Oryctolagus cuniculus: one gene and its partners. The protein of the gene in region 1 binds, or shares a complex with, the protein of each later gene. Links are inferred from orthologs where the notes say so. Each region holds a gene or a part of one and is shown in the gene's direction. Other genes may lie near its edges.

The links.
Region 2: CWC15 (region 1) and PPIL2 share a complex: the UniProt entries of both Homo sapiens proteins name them as parts of the minor spliceosome. The link is inferred for Oryctolagus cuniculus from reciprocal best matches to the Homo sapiens genes CWC15 and PPIL2.
Region 3: CWC15 (region 1) and SF3B5 share a complex: the UniProt entries of both Homo sapiens proteins name them as parts of the minor spliceosome. The link is inferred for Oryctolagus cuniculus from reciprocal best matches to the Homo sapiens genes CWC15 and SF3B5.

What each region holds. Positions count from the first base shown.
Region 1 is NC_091432.1:86,202,040-86,208,001, reverse strand, and holds the start of CWC15 (spliceosome-associated protein CWC15 homolog), read left to right. Parts: upstream 1-2,295; 5' UTR 2,296-2,436; intron 2,437-3,469; 5' UTR 3,470-3,477; coding exon 3,478-3,608; intron 3,609-4,472; coding exon 4,473-4,585; intron 4,586-4,973; coding exon 4,974-5,062; intron 5,063-5,962. UniProt on the Homo sapiens protein: Involved in pre-mRNA splicing as component of the spliceosome. Component of the PRP19-CDC5L complex that forms an integral part of the spliceosome and is required for activating pre-mRNA splicing.
Region 2 is NC_091452.1:29,125,888-29,131,002, reverse strand, and holds the start of PPIL2 (RING-type E3 ubiquitin-protein ligase PPIL2), read left to right. Parts: upstream 1-1,389; 5' UTR 1,390-1,575; coding exon 1,576-1,607; intron 1,608-3,312; coding exon 3,313-3,362; intron 3,363-5,074; coding exon 5,075-5,115. UniProt on the Homo sapiens protein: Has a ubiquitin-protein ligase activity acting as an E3 ubiquitin protein ligase or as an ubiquitin-ubiquitin ligase promoting elongation of ubiquitin chains on substrates.
Region 3 is NC_091436.1:24,439,666-24,443,088, forward strand, and holds SF3B5 (splicing factor 3B subunit 5), read left to right. Parts: upstream 1-1,265; 5' UTR 1,266-1,409; coding exon 1,410-1,670; 3' UTR 1,671-1,997; downstream 1,998-3,423. UniProt on the Homo sapiens protein: Component of the 17S U2 SnRNP complex of the spliceosome, a large ribonucleoprotein complex that removes introns from transcribed pre-mRNAs.

The sequences.
Region 1 (5,962 bases):
AATACTTTCAGGTCAATAGGTCAAAAGCTCTTAGTTTTTGTGGACTGATTATGTTAGATGTTGGTGCTAATGAAATTATAGAGTAGCAGTTAGCAGTCAAAAGATGGAGCAGTGGGCTGTGAATTAAACAGATTAAAGTGATTCATGCAGGGTTGAAAAGGGCAGCTGGAACATAAAAACTATTTGCTATAATTGTGTTACCATCTTGCCATCGCTGCTACATTCCTCTATTTCATAGTGCATCATTCATTCATTCATTCATTCAGAAAATACTTACTCAGCACCTATTAAGTGTCAGGCACAGCTCTATATGCAGAGAACACACCAGTGAGCAAGACAGACAAGATTCCTGCTTTCCTGGAACTTATGTTCTAATACAAGAAGATAGACAACAATAATAAAATAATATTAATAATAATAGCTAACATTTACTTAGCAAGTATTATTTGCTGAGACAGTTCTAAGCACTTTACAAATATTCATTCTTACAGTCACATTATGAAGTAGGAACTAGAATTTTCTCCATTTTATACATGAGGAAACTGAGCGCATTAGAAAGGGAAAATAACTTGCCTAAGGTTATACAGCTACAAAAGGGCAGAACTGGAGTTTAGAACCAAGACAGTCGGGCTTTCGCTTAATGGCTTTGCTATGCTGCCTCTCAGACAAGCAACAAAGCAATAAAGAAGGAACAGAACAGGTTCAGGTAGTATTCACTGGTATGAAGCAGGATAATGATACGACTTTGCATGCTGGAGGGGCGGGGATGCAAATGCAGAGGTCAGGGAAAATCTCCCTGGGGAGGTAGCATTTGAACTGCTACTTGAAGGATGGCAACAGTTATCTTGGACTATAGGCAACAGAGAAAAGCCACTATAAAGTTCTAAGGTAAGGACCAATCCTGCCTTATTTTATGAAACAGAAATGCCCACGTAGCTGCACCTCCAGCCATGGAGAGTCTGGTGTGTAACAATGACTGCTTCAGAGTGAAATCAGGGAGATAAGGCAGGAGCCAGACTCCACAGGCCACGGTGAGAAAGGTGGTCTTTAATCTAAGTGCAGGGGGTTTTATGCAAGTGAGGAATGCTAGCTATGATTAATCACTATCCAGGTGGAAGATGATGGTGGTTTTGATGAGATCATGATTGTGGAATGGAATTTAGGGTAAATTTTGACAAGACTTGCGAAGGAACAGGATGTGAATAGTGAAGCAAAAGCAACTGTTAAGTAGGTGCCCTGGGGTTTTTGGTTTGAGTAACTAGTGTGATGGCTGCATCCTTTACTGATGTGCAGGACTTGGGGAGGAATATATTTGAAAGAAAAAGCAAACACACACAAAATTTTCCAACTTGAACCTTACAGAGGAAGGCGCTTTTTCTACATTGGTTTCACTTAAAAGTTTCAAAGAAAGAATTTTCAGGAAAAATCCTTCAATGTTCAATTTTGACACTAAATTGGGAAAACTTAAATTTTCACTGGTTTAACAAATACTGCGCAGGATACTACCATGTGTGACACTCTACCAGGAAGGACTAAACAAACAAGATCCCTGCTCTCAGAGTGCTTGTTTCTCAGGGGAGAAAGAAAAACGACTGGTGATTTACTTTTTGCCTTTTCCTGGTCTTACTACAACCTCCCCTAATGCATCAGTAGCCATCTTAATAATTCCACCCCGTGCCACTGGCGGTTGGGCCCACCGTTCTAAACGTTCAAGGTCGTAAACGCTAATGCTGACATCTCCCCTCTCACAGAACTTAAGGGCATTTTAAAGGGAAAAAAAAAAAAAAAACTTAGCAAACAATACGAATACAACCTTTGCTGTGAAGTCTAATATTTTTGCAGGAATGGTACCTTTATAAAGATCGTGGTTGCCCCCGCACATATTTGTTCTTTCTTCATATCCAATTAAATGAAAACACTAGTGTTTCCGCAGCCTAGTTTTCTAGGCTTGTTGGCTCTAGCTCAGGAGAAAGGATGGAAACAGAATCGTTGGATTTAAACTGTTTGGTGAAATCCCTTTGCACGCTCTCTCCCGCTAGCCATGGATGTGGTGTCGGCTACACCGGGTTTTCCATCCACGCAGTGCCGGAATGAAGGAGTCTGGGAGGGGGGGTTGGGGAAGGGAAAGACGGAAGAGACATTAAGTAACTGGCTCTCGAAAGCGTAAGATGATGTTCAAGGTCTGCTCTAAAGCACTGATTTCAAATGCCCGCCCCCTGGGCCGTTTCAGCCCCGCCCCTTGATGTCGTCACACCGACTTCCACTTTGGCCTCTGAGGATTGGTCGTTGCCGCCACCTCTTTGGGGCGGTTAAAAATGCTCGGGTTTTGCTTCCGGGTCTTGGGCTTTGGCCCTGGGCGCAGAGGTTTCTGGGAGCTATCAAGCACAATGGCGTCTGTATGATTTTCCGTGAGTGTAGTATCGGACGTCTTCCTAGGTGAGCGGCACGGGGAGAGCAGTTTGTGTTTCTTATCCGGGTGGCGTGGGAGACGGCAGTCGGGGTCAGAGTTGGCGTTGGCCGAGTGCCGAGCGCCGGCGGGAAAGACCGGGAGCCGCGGACGGGCGGTGGAGCCCGGTGCCGGCCGGGCGCGCCCGCAGCCCCCGGCCTCCAGCGCGGAACGAAGCTCTGCCCTCTGTGGCTTTAAGCCGGGGCTTGAAGCAGGCCAGCCAGGCGAAAGGCGGGCTCCCGGGCGGCCGGAGTGATCAACCTGAAGCTTTTGGGAAGCGGCGGCGCCCCCGACCCTAGAAAACCTGCTTCTCTCTCTCCTTACGCAGGCTTTCACGGCCTTTTGGAAACCGAGGGAAGCATACAAAATAATCCTGCCGTCTTCTGCACCCTCCCCAGACACTTGCTTTTCTGACGTTAACGGGCTTTTGGGCTCTTAGTAGCCCCATCAGCTGGGCAGTATTCTTTCCGTTATCAGATTCCTTTGAGGATTAGGTTTCTGTCATTGGAGCATTTCTTAAATTGTAGCCTGACGTGTATGTTGTGAGGACTGTCCCAGGAGAAAATCGAATCCACAAGATTGTTGGAGAATGTTTCCCACTGATTTTCAGCACACTTACCTCTGGGACACTTAAGAGTTTGTCAGTGATTTTTAAATTTTCTTTCTTTTTGTCTTTTCCTTAAGGACATTTAAACTAAGGTTTAAACTGAGAACTTTTAGGGCTTTGACATGTGGGATCTCATAATTCTTTGAGGAATAGCCCCATTCTATAAATGAAAGATTGGTCACTTGTCCAAGGCCACACAGAAGGGGAACAGGAGCAGAAACTCAGGTCTTCACCACAGAATTTTTGGTGTGAGATAAAAGCTGCCCTTGCACCTCATAATTGGTTTCCTTCAGAACTTTGGTTTGGGAGGGTTATTGAAGCAAGTTTTGAGATTATTTCACAAGGATGGATATTTGTTTAGTACCTTACACAGTGAAAGTATGTCGCATTAGAAACAACTTTGTTTTCCCCCATAGCGTCAAAGATGACGACAGCAGCCAGACCAACTTTTGAACCTGCAAGAGGTGGAAGAGGAAAAGGGGAAGGTGATCTGAGCCAACTCTCAAAGCAGTATTCCAGCCGAGACTTACCTTCCCATACAAAGATAAAATATAGGTATAAAGACTCGCAGCTTTTTCTTGCTCATGAAATAGGCCTAATCTGTTGAAAAGCATGGCCATGATGTGTAGTAGGGGTAGGTTTGAATTGTATCACTTCAGTTACCATTTTCAGAGGAATAGAATACAATAGAAAGTTTAACATCAAAATTACACTCTGTGATTTTAAAGTTCTATCCCCTTCCTGCAGCCCAAATTCTTATTATCCAGGAGTTTCCATATGGAGATGGAATGGTAGCTAGTGGATTATCTCAGAGAAACTATGCACTTACCAGCATTAGTCAACATGACATTGAAAGCGTTACTGTAACAGGCCCTGAATTTCTAATAATACAACAATTAAATACCTGCTTTTAGGGAAAAAATTATTTATTTTATTTGAAGAGCGGAGTGAAAGAGATCCCCCATCTGCTGGTTCACTCCCCAAACGCCTGCAACTGTCAGGGCTGGGCCATACTTAAGCCAGGAACCAAGAACTCAATCTGTGTCTCCCATGTGGTAGATGACAGGGACCTGAGTACTTGAACCATCACCTTCTGCCTTCCAGAGTTCACATTACTGGGAAGCTGGAATGGAGAATAAAGATGAGTCTCAAACCCAGACACTCCTTTATGGAGTGTCCCAAACAACACCATAACCACTGAGCCAAGTGCATAGTTCAAAAAATTAAGGACATTATAATAAATCTGTAGCTGTATTATGGGAAAGTATGCAGTTCAACCTTCAGATTGTGTCATAATTCTGACAACTTTCCTCTTAGGCTTAAAGGACAAAGTTGCTGTGATGAATTATATTTCATTGCTACAGCCATGTATTTTTTTCTTTCTAGTAACCTTTTGACCCTGATTGGTTTATAATTTAGGCAAACTACTCAGGATGCCCCTGAAGAGGTTCGTAACCGGGACTTCAGGAGAGAGCTGGAAGAGAGAGAGAGAGCTGCTGCCAGAGAGAAAAATAGGGATCGTCCAACCCGGGGTACTAACGCTATCCCAAACGTTTGTCTCATAAAATTATGTTCTCCATATTTTTTTATGTGTTAATTAGAAACTGTTAATATTTCTGTTTGTTTGCTTTTAAGTATTAGTGTGAATTACAGTGCTTTCTTAACTAGCCTAGAAGTGATGATCAGGTTTAGGTTCCCAACATGTATAAACTATTCCCTGAATTTCCTGAGGCCGCAGTTCCTGTATAAAATCAGTGCTTTCATTAAGTCATTCGATAAATATTTATCCAAATGCTTATCTGCTAGCCACTGTATGAGCCCTGCTGCTGGGATGCTTTTAGTGTGATTGTTTTGTGCCCATGAGTCCCTGAATCGTAAGAAACGTGTGTCAGTAACTAGGTGATGTTTGCCTACCCCCAGAACATACAACTTCCTCTTCAGTATCCAAGAAGCCTCGGTTAGACCAGATTCCTGCTGCCAACCTTGACGCAGATGATCCTTTAACAGACGTATGTTTCATTTCCTACTTTCACCTCTTATCTAGTCATTTTTTACTGCATTTTTCTGAAATATATTTTTATGCTTTTGTATTTAAGAAGTCACATGTGTTTGTTTTCACTCACTATTGTTCAAATGCAGCCCTAAGCTCAATGTTAAACTTTGCAGTTGACTTTAAAATAAAAGATGTTATTTTGTGTTAAGAACTTCACAAACAAATTTGATCTATGAAGAACCAAAAATGGAAGCAATCTGTTGAAATGTGTACTTTCCCCCCAAAATAATTTCCTGTATTAAACCTAGAGGTGGGGCTACCAGGTTATTCACAGGGTACTCTTATACTAGGTTTTCCATAAACAGTACCCTCTCAGTTAATATTGAAATCCATGGAGACCCTACAGTCTGTAATTAATTTGTAGGTTTCTATAGACAATGAAAAAAATCTGAATGGCTTTTCATGGATAGTTTCTAATTATGTATATAAGCAATTAATTCTAGACTTGACGGAGTTACAGTAATTAAATAGAATACTGATTTTACATGAAACTTAAATGATTATTCATTTCAAAATATTTTCTTCTAGAAATTTGGCATTCTGTTCATGCTATTGATTATCCTTGCTGGTTTAAAGTTGTTCTGAGCTACATAAAGTGTTTTGACTCTTTAGAGTGATACAGTGTGCATTTATACAGTGTTTCAGTGTAAAATTTTCCTCTCTGGTTTTGGAAACCTTCTCAGATGGAAATTTTTTTTAGCCATGTAAATTTGAAAGGTATTTTGTCAGGGATTGACATTTTTGAGTATTTGTAAACTTCTTCTGTGGGACTTTATATTTTGTTGTAATTTGGTTGTTGATTTTAATCTTAGTATTTAGGTGCATTTATCTTTGCCATGGAGAAACTTAATTCTGC
Region 2 (5,115 bases), on another chromosome or scaffold:
CCAGCTCTGGCCATTGTGGCCATTTGGGGAGTGAACCAGAGAATGGAAGATATTTCTCTCTGTGTAACTCTGCCTTTCAAGTAAAATAAATTTTAAAAATGTTCAATTAGGGCCGGCACTGCGGCTCACTAGGCTAATCCTCCGCCTTGTGGCGCCGGCACACCGGGTTCTAGTCCCAGTCAGGGCGCCGGATTCTGTCCCGGTTGCTCCTCTTCCAGGCCAGCTCTCTGCTGTGGCCAGGGAGTGCAGTGGAGGATGGCCCAGGTGCTTGGGCCCTGCACCCCATGGGAGACCAGGATAAGTACCTGGCTCCTGCCATCGGATCAGTGTGGTGCGCCGGCCGCAGCGCGCTGGTCGTGGTGGCCATTGGAGGGTGAACCAGCGGCAAAAGGAAGACTTTTCTTTCTGTCTCTCTCACTGTACACTCTGCCTGTCAAAAAAAAAAAATGCTTAATTAGGGCATCATCCCATATCCTGAAAGGGGCGACCCCAGCTTTGCGGGGGCAGTACCCTTCCTTCTCATGAAGAGAGGTTGCCTCTTCGCCATCTGAGTACCTAAATCCTGCTTTCCCGTACGCCCTTAGGGTGTTCCTCCAATTACTTCACCGAGTGGAGACAAGAACTTGGAGCAGGTGCAGCCAGGAGTGTCCAGCATATTGCAAAATGGCAGTGGGGGGCCCTCCTGCCCAGACGTGTAGGTACCATACATCTTTCACGCCTCGCATCTTCCGTAATGACTGCGAACCCCTCCCATGGGCAGAGGATTCGGTATGAGAATGAAGCTCAGGTAAGGTCATGGAGATCTGACTCAAACTATGGGATTCCTCTTAGGCTGAGGGTCTGGCCCCTCCCAGGGCAGTGCTGGAACATTCTTTGAAAAGCAAGCTCAGCAGTTGAGATTGGTCTGCCCCTCCTCCCGGTTCTGCCTCAATCCTAGGCCTTCAGTTACAAAATTTGGGTGACCCGGTGGCTGGCAGTCCGTTCAGGAGACAGGAGAGTAAGGAGGCAGCGGGACAAGAATTCTGCTTTCTCAGCAGGCGTGTTAAATCCGAGATCAGTGGTTTGAGAGTCCACAGCGCCGGCACCTCAGCTTGGCGAGTCCCGAGACGCAAGTGCTGCTGGCCAGGGTCACCCGGGGCCCCAGCGTTGGACCCAAAGTGGCTCAAGAAGAGACAGAAGGGACCAAGCGACGGTCCATGGCCACCTGTCGCTGGGCTGCCGAGGGGCGTGGAGGCTGTCGGACACAATGCACTCTGGGAATGGGATACGAGCGAGCAGGCAGCTAAATGGGGCGGTGCGAGGAGAGAACAGCTCCGCCAAGAAAGAGGGGGCTCAAGCTAGCGCGGCCTCCCTCAGTCCAGGGTCTCAGGTACCACACCGCGCCCAGACCCCGTTGGAGCATGCGCACTCGGCGGCAGGGAAACCCGACAGTTCCCGGCATGCCAAGCGCCCGCTTCCGGCGTGGGCCCGCGGATCCCGGAAGTAGCTGCCCGACTACTCGGCGGCGTCTGTGGGCTCGCGGTTGCTGGCCGTGACTTTTCCGCGCTCGAAGACCCCACCGCCGCGCTCGCCGCCATGGGGAAACGCCAGCACCAGAAAGACAAGATGTACGTGGAACCGCGTCGGGGGAGCGGCTCGCCGCTGCGCGCCCGGCCCCGCGCTTGGCCGGGGCTTCGCGTCGCTCCTCTTCCCTCGCAGAGTCGAGTCCCCAGGACTCCTCCCGGAAGCCCCCTGCCCACTCCCCAGGCCGGGCAGTGACACCGCTGCCCCCAGCCCCTGCGGTAGCCCGGGGATCCGGCAGCCGCGTCTCGGGCCCCCCGGGGTTGGAAGCGAGCGAGCCCCGGCCGCCGTCGCGTTTCTTCGCCTTTTCCGAGTGACGAGCCCCGGTCTGCTGCTGTCTCTCGAGTCCGCTGGGGCCAGGCTTTCACAGCCCCTGTCCCCCGCCTTGAGTCCTTGTTGCCGAGCTTGGGGTCATCCAGTCATTTCTCAAGCCCGTGGCGTTGACCTCTGCGATCTCGCGTGCGTGGTTTTCCCGCAAACTTCAGCGGCCTCCCCTTTTCTCGGGTTCGTCGGCCGGGCCCCCTCCTCCCGTTTCTCCCAGGCCTCACAGGTTACTGTCTGTGGCGGGGGTCTTGAAGCAGTCTGTTCAGCCCGGCATCTCCGCTTCGGCGGTCTGATACAGACCGCATTTTAATCTGATCATCGGAAATAGAACCCAGCCCTGGAGTTTGCCTCTCTCCTTCCTGTCTCAGTGATAGGCTGAGAATTAAAAAAAATTTTTTTTTAAAGATATTTGTATTGATGTGAAATGCGGAATGACACAGGGAGAGAAAGAAAGATCTACCATGCACTGGTCCAGTCCCCCAAGTGCCCCACAGCCAGGGCTGGGCCAGGAACTCCATGCAGGTCTCCCACGTGGGTAGTAGGGACCCCAAGTGACTTGAGCCATCCTCTGCCGCCCCCCAGGTGCCTTGGCAGGGAGCTGGTCAGAAGCAGAGGGGCGGGGTCTGATTCCAGGCGCTCTGGTACGGTATGCGGGTGGCAGCCTCACTCACCGCACCACAGCGCCCACCACAGACAGGGTTTTCCGACCTTACCGTGGTGTGAAAGCAATGTGTGCTGGGGGCCAGTGCTGTGGCGTAGTGGGTAAAGCTGCCACCTGCAGTGCCGGCATCCCAGATGGGCACTGGTTCGAGTCCTGGCTGCTCCTCTTCTCATCCAGCTCTCTGTTGTGGCCTGGGAAAGCAGTAGAAGATGGCCCAAGTCCTTGGGCCCCTGCACCCACGTGGGAGACCCGGAGGAAGTGGTCAATTCCTGGTGGATTTTCTGCTGCTGCTCTGGCTGTCTTCCTACGCACAGCAGCCAGGGCGAGGCTTTGCGGCTGATGTCAGATCCTGCCTAGCAGGGCCCTGGCTCCGAACCCTCCGTGGTCTCCCACCCACTGAGGAAGACCTGCGAGGCCCCTCCCCATCCGTCTTCCTCCGCTGCCACCCGCCGGTGCCCGCAGCTCCCCAGCGACATCTGTCTGTTCTTCCTGCCTTGGGCATCGGTACCCGCTGTGGCTGCGGGCCCCGCCCGTGTGTCTGCCTGGAGGGCTCTTCCCCCAGGTCTGCCCGTGCCGGCCGCTCTCATGTGTCAGGTCTTCCTGGGTGAATCACCTCCTTTCCTTCTGAGCAGCGCAGGGCCGTCTGTGTTTATTTATTTATGGGTTTGTGCAGCCCCGTGTCTGCCGTGTTCACCCCTGGCTGGCCAGTGGCAGCGTAGTGATATCTCTCCCTCCCTCTCCCCGTCCCCTCCCCCTCCCCCTCTCAGGTACATCACCTGTGCTGAATACACTCACTTCTATGGTGGCAAGAAGCCAGGTAAGGCATGGGAGTCTTCTCTGCCCCGAGGACAGGGGTGTACAGAGGATGGGTGGCCCCATTATACAGGCAGCCCGTGGTCTGTGCAGGACAGCTGGGCCGAGGACTCCATTCACGGAAGAGGAAAGATGCCCCACCCACTGGCGATTTTTTTAAAAATATGGCTTAAAATAACCAAAGTGCTCCAGGCTGTGGTGAAAAGAACCCTGGTCTACATTTTTTCTTTTTCTTTTTCTTTTTTTTTTTATTTCAAAGTCAGAGTTACCAGAGAGAGAAGGAGAGGCAAAGAGAGAGGCAGAGAGAGAGAGAGAGAGGTCTTCCATCTGCTGGTTCACTCCCCAATTGGCCGCAACAGCTGGAGCTGGACTGATCTGAAGCCAGGAGCCAGGAGCTTCCTCCAGGTCTCCCACGTGGGTGCAAGGGCCCAAGGGTTTGGGCCATCTTCTACTGCTTTCCTAGGCCATAGCAGAGAGCTGGATCAAAAGAGCAGCCAGGACTTGAACTGGCACCCATAAGGGATGCCGGCACTGGAGGCGGCAGCTTTACCCCCTACACTACAGTGCTGGCCCTCTTTTTTTTTTTTAAGATCTAGTTATTGGCCGGCGCCGCGGCTCACTAGGCTAATCCTCCACCTGCAGCGCCAGCACACCAGGTTCTAGTCCCAGTCGGGGCTCCGGATTCTGTCCCGGTTGCTCCTCTTCCAGTCCAGCTCTCTGCTGTGGCCCAAGTGCTTGGGCCCTGCACCTGCATGGGAGACCAGGAGAAGCACCTGGCTCCTGGCTTCGGATCAGCGCCGTGCGCCAGCCGCAGCACACTGGCTGCAGAGGCCACTGTGGGGTGAACCAATGGAAAAGGAAGACCTTTCTCTCTGTCTCTCTCTCTCACCGTCCACTCTGCCTGTCAAAAAGAAAAAAAAAAAAAAGATTTAATTATTTATTTGAGAGTCAGAGTTACAGACAGAGGGAGAGACAGACAGATCTTCCATCCACTGACCCACTCCCCAAATGGCCACAATGGCTGATCCGAAGCCAGGAGCTTCATCTGGGTCTCTGACACTGGTGCAGGGGCCCATGCACTTGGGTCATCTTCTGGTGCTTTCGCAGGCCACAGCAGAGAGCTGGATCAGAAGTAGAGCAGCCAGGACCGGTGCTGTGGCGCAATGGGTTAACACCCTGGCCTGAAGTGCTGGCATCCCATACAGGCGCCGGTTCAAGACCTGGCTGCTCCTCTTCCAGTCCAGCTCTCTGCCATGGCCTGGGAAAACAGTAGAAGATGGCCCAGATCCTTGGGCCCCTGCACCCACATGGGAGACCCAGAAGACGCTCCTGGCTCCTGGCTTTGGATTGGCACAGAAGACCTCTCTCTCTGCCTCTCCTCTCCCTGTGTAATTCTGACTTTCAAATAAATAAATAAATCTTTAAAAAAAAAAAAAAATGGAGCAGCCAGGACTTGAACTGGCGCCCACATGGGATGCTGGCACTGTAGGCAGCGGCTTAACCTACCACGCCATAGCTCCGGCCCCTGTTGTAATTTTCACGCTCTCTCCAGCTCCTCCTCTGTCCACGCCCTCCCTGTGTTTGGTGCCCACGGCAGTGGCGGTGCTAAGTACTTGAGCACTCCTTTTCCCATAAGACAGCGGTGCTTGTGGGCAGGTACACGGAGTGGAGCTATTTGACACAGCCGGTGTTCCCCTTTTGTTCCCCACAAAACAGATCTCCCCCAGTCAAATTTCCGCCGTTTACCCTTCGACCAC
Region 3 (3,423 bases), on another chromosome or scaffold:
ATTGAACAGTATAAAAGAATTAAAGTTTCATATATCAATGAGGATACTGACAAGAGTAAAAGCAACTTTTACAGCATTATATATGCTACTCATAGGTTTAAACCATGCCTATCAGCTATTGTTTATGGATACACAAACTTTCAGCAATTGGAAAACAGAATGATTGACATTAAATCCAGGACAGTGTCCAAGAGATGAGGGAAGGGAACGCGGAGAACGTTTATTTGCAGAATTTATCTCTTAAAAATCAAAACAAAATCAGGACAAATACGGCAAAATGTCAAGGTTTGATACACCTAGAGGATGAAGCCAAAGATATACCTTATAAATTTTCCACACTTTAGGAATGAATTGTCAAGCTGAAAAGAGCAAAACAAAACTGCTTTTTAAAGTTCTTGCTCTCCGGGCAGCGTTCCTCTCTTTGGCTGTAGTTGTCTCTCTATCCCTCAACTGTTTTTTGGAGAACACAATCTATCAGGCTGTACGAATATCCAAAAAGGATATCCTAAGATAAGTATGGGTTTGTTTTTTCCTCAAGTATTTCTACCGCCGTGAATTTTAAACCAAAAGGTAAAACATAAAGCGAAAATCAGATGCAAAGGAGGAGCCAACCGAAGGCAGACGCGTCGCCGCGGGAACAAAGCCTTTCCCGCGGGCGCTAACGGCTCCGAAGGGGACGCGGGCGCGCGCGGCACCTGGCCGAGTGCGGGCCGGGGTCGTGGGGGTCGGCGTGGAGTCGCCGGGGGCCACCAGCCCGAGAGGCGAGACCGAAGGAGTGTGCGCCGGGGGCGCCCAAGCGACTCGGCCCCGGGGCTGTGCAGGGTCACCGAACGGGAACGGCGGCCCCGCTAGAGCGTGGGACCAGAGGTCGCGTCTGCCGACCTCAGTAAGCCACCCGATTGTGAAGGGGCTACCGTGCCGCCTCGTCAGCGCCTAATTACACCAAGGGTTTATTTTCTTGGTTGCCTGTGCCACTGGCCCACTGGCCCACTTTCTCTTAGCACCGGGCCGACAACGCATGCTCCCCGCCTCTGGGGTTCTGCCCTCCATTCAGCTCTTAAACCGCGGTCTCGGAAGAGACCACAAATCCCAGCATGCAAGACGCTACGTCAGTACAGGGCCACCCACGGACCACCAAGTGGACCATCATGCAACGCTCTCCGAGGGCGGGGGGCGGGACTCTGTTAAAGGGGCGGGACAGTTTCAGTGTCGCTAGGGCAACTCCAATACGGCTTCAAAATGTGCTTCCGCTTCCGCGTCCTCCGCCACTCCGTCGCTGTGACGCAATTTCTCTGCGACTGAGCGAGGCTGCCGGTTCCGTGTGCTGGCCTTTCTCCGGCGGGAAACCCGAGACCGGTTCCTAACCCTCGTGCGACTTCTGACTTCGGAGCGAAAGGGAAAGCGGCAAGATGACAGACCGCTACACCATCCACAGCCAGCTGGAGCACCTGCAGTCCAAGTACATCGGCACGGGCCACGCCGACACCACCAAGTGGGAGTGGCTGGTGAACCAGCACCGCGACTCCTACTGCTCCTACATGGGCCACTTCGACCTTCTCAACTACTTCGCCATCGCGGAGAATGAGAGCAAAGCGCGAGTGCGCTTCAACTTGATGGAGAAGATGCTGCAGCCTTGCGGCCCCCCCGCTGACAAGCCCGAGGAAAACTGAGACGGCGCCTCCTCCAGCGAGCCTCCCGATCGCCGGCGTTGCCCGCGCGTTCCTGTCTCCAGTGGACTGGTTCTTCCGCGACTCCTTGCTTCTCCGGCCTTCCGGGTGCAGAAGTGCTCGCCGAGGTGTCCCGCCGGTGCTGTCTTCACGTGGATCCCTCGGGACGCAGCACCAGGACCGCCGGGGCTCCCTGAGAACTGCGGGTGAAGAGGTCCGAGAGCTGGCGGGCGTTGGGGAAGACGGCACTGGAGTGAGGGGATTTGGAGGCTCGTGTTTGACTTAGTTGATTGTCGCGTTGCCTTTTTCATAAAGTTTAGAATCTGTTAAGTCTCTTGGTGTGATCTGTTTGTGTTCCAGGGGAGAAGGCTGGGGAGGACTCGGAACCAAAGGTTCTGTGCGTGTGCAAGTAGGAGAGGGTGGGTGGAGGGCACAGAACCAGCCTGCCTTGCCAGGCACTGAAATCCGCCCAGCATGCCCTTTGGGGAGCTTCAGAAAGCCCCTGGAAGGTTAAGCCTCCGCCTGCAGTGCCAGCATCCTATATGGGCAGCTGGTTGGAGGCCTGGCCCCTGCACTTCTGATCCAACTTCTTGCTAATGCTCCTGGGAAAGCAGAGAAGGGTAGCCCAAGTGCTTGGGCCACAGGCACCCATGTGGGAGACCCGAAAGAAGCTCCAGGTTTCAGTCTAACCCAGCCCTGGCCATTGCTGCCATCTGGGGAGTGAACCAGCAGATGGAAGATTCTCTTTCTCCGACTCTGTATTTCTAACTTTAAAATAAATGAAATTTTATTATTTTTTTTAATTTTTTTATTTTTGACAGGCAGAGTGGACAGTGAGAGAGAGAGACAGAGAGAAAGGTCTTCCTTTGCCGTTGGTTCACCCTCCAATGGCCGCCGCGGCCGGTGCGCTGCGGCCGGCGCACCGCACTGATCCGATGGCAGGAGCCAGGAGCCAGGTGCTTTTCCTGGTCTCCCATGGGGTGCAGGGCCCAAGCACCTGGGCCATCCTCCACTGCACTCCCTGGCCACAGCAGAGGGCTGGCTTGGAAGAGGGGCAACCGGGACAGAATCCGGCGCCCCGACCGGGACTAGAACCCAGTGTGCCGGTGCCGCTAGGCAGAGGATTAGCCTAGTGAGCCGCGGCGCCGGCAAAATAAATGAAATTTTAAAAGCCCCTAGAAAGTTCGACTTCTAATTCCATTTTTCCATCAACTTTGTGAAGCCTCCTTGTGTTCAGAACTCAGATTTACCTGAAAAAAAATTTTCAGATCCATAGTGCCTTCAGGTTTGAGGTTTTTTTTATTATTCTACCTTTTTCTTTCATTTTAAACCGCATCCCTTGGGAATTTCTGACTGTTCTTCAGAAATGACAAGCTGGCAAGCAAGTTGTTCTTTCGTCACCTAACGTATTTGTTGGGTTTTATGTGATAGGCTTTTTGCTATACTTTGGGGGCTTACATTATGCTGGTAAACAACGCCAAAGTGTTGGCATAATCAGCAAGTGTTAGAAGATGCTAGGGCCTGAGAGCAGAGAGGCTTGCAGTTTTTTGTTTTTCTGTTTTTTTTTTGTTTGTTTGTTTTTTTGTTGTTTTTTTTTTTTTTTTTTTTTTTTTGACAGAGTGGACAGTGAGAGAGACAGAGAGAAAGGTCTTCCTTTGCCGTTGGTTCACCCTCCAATGGCCGCCGTGGCCGGCGTGCTGCGGCCAGTGCACTGCGCTGATCAGGAGCCAGGTGCTTCTCCTGGTCTCCCATGGGG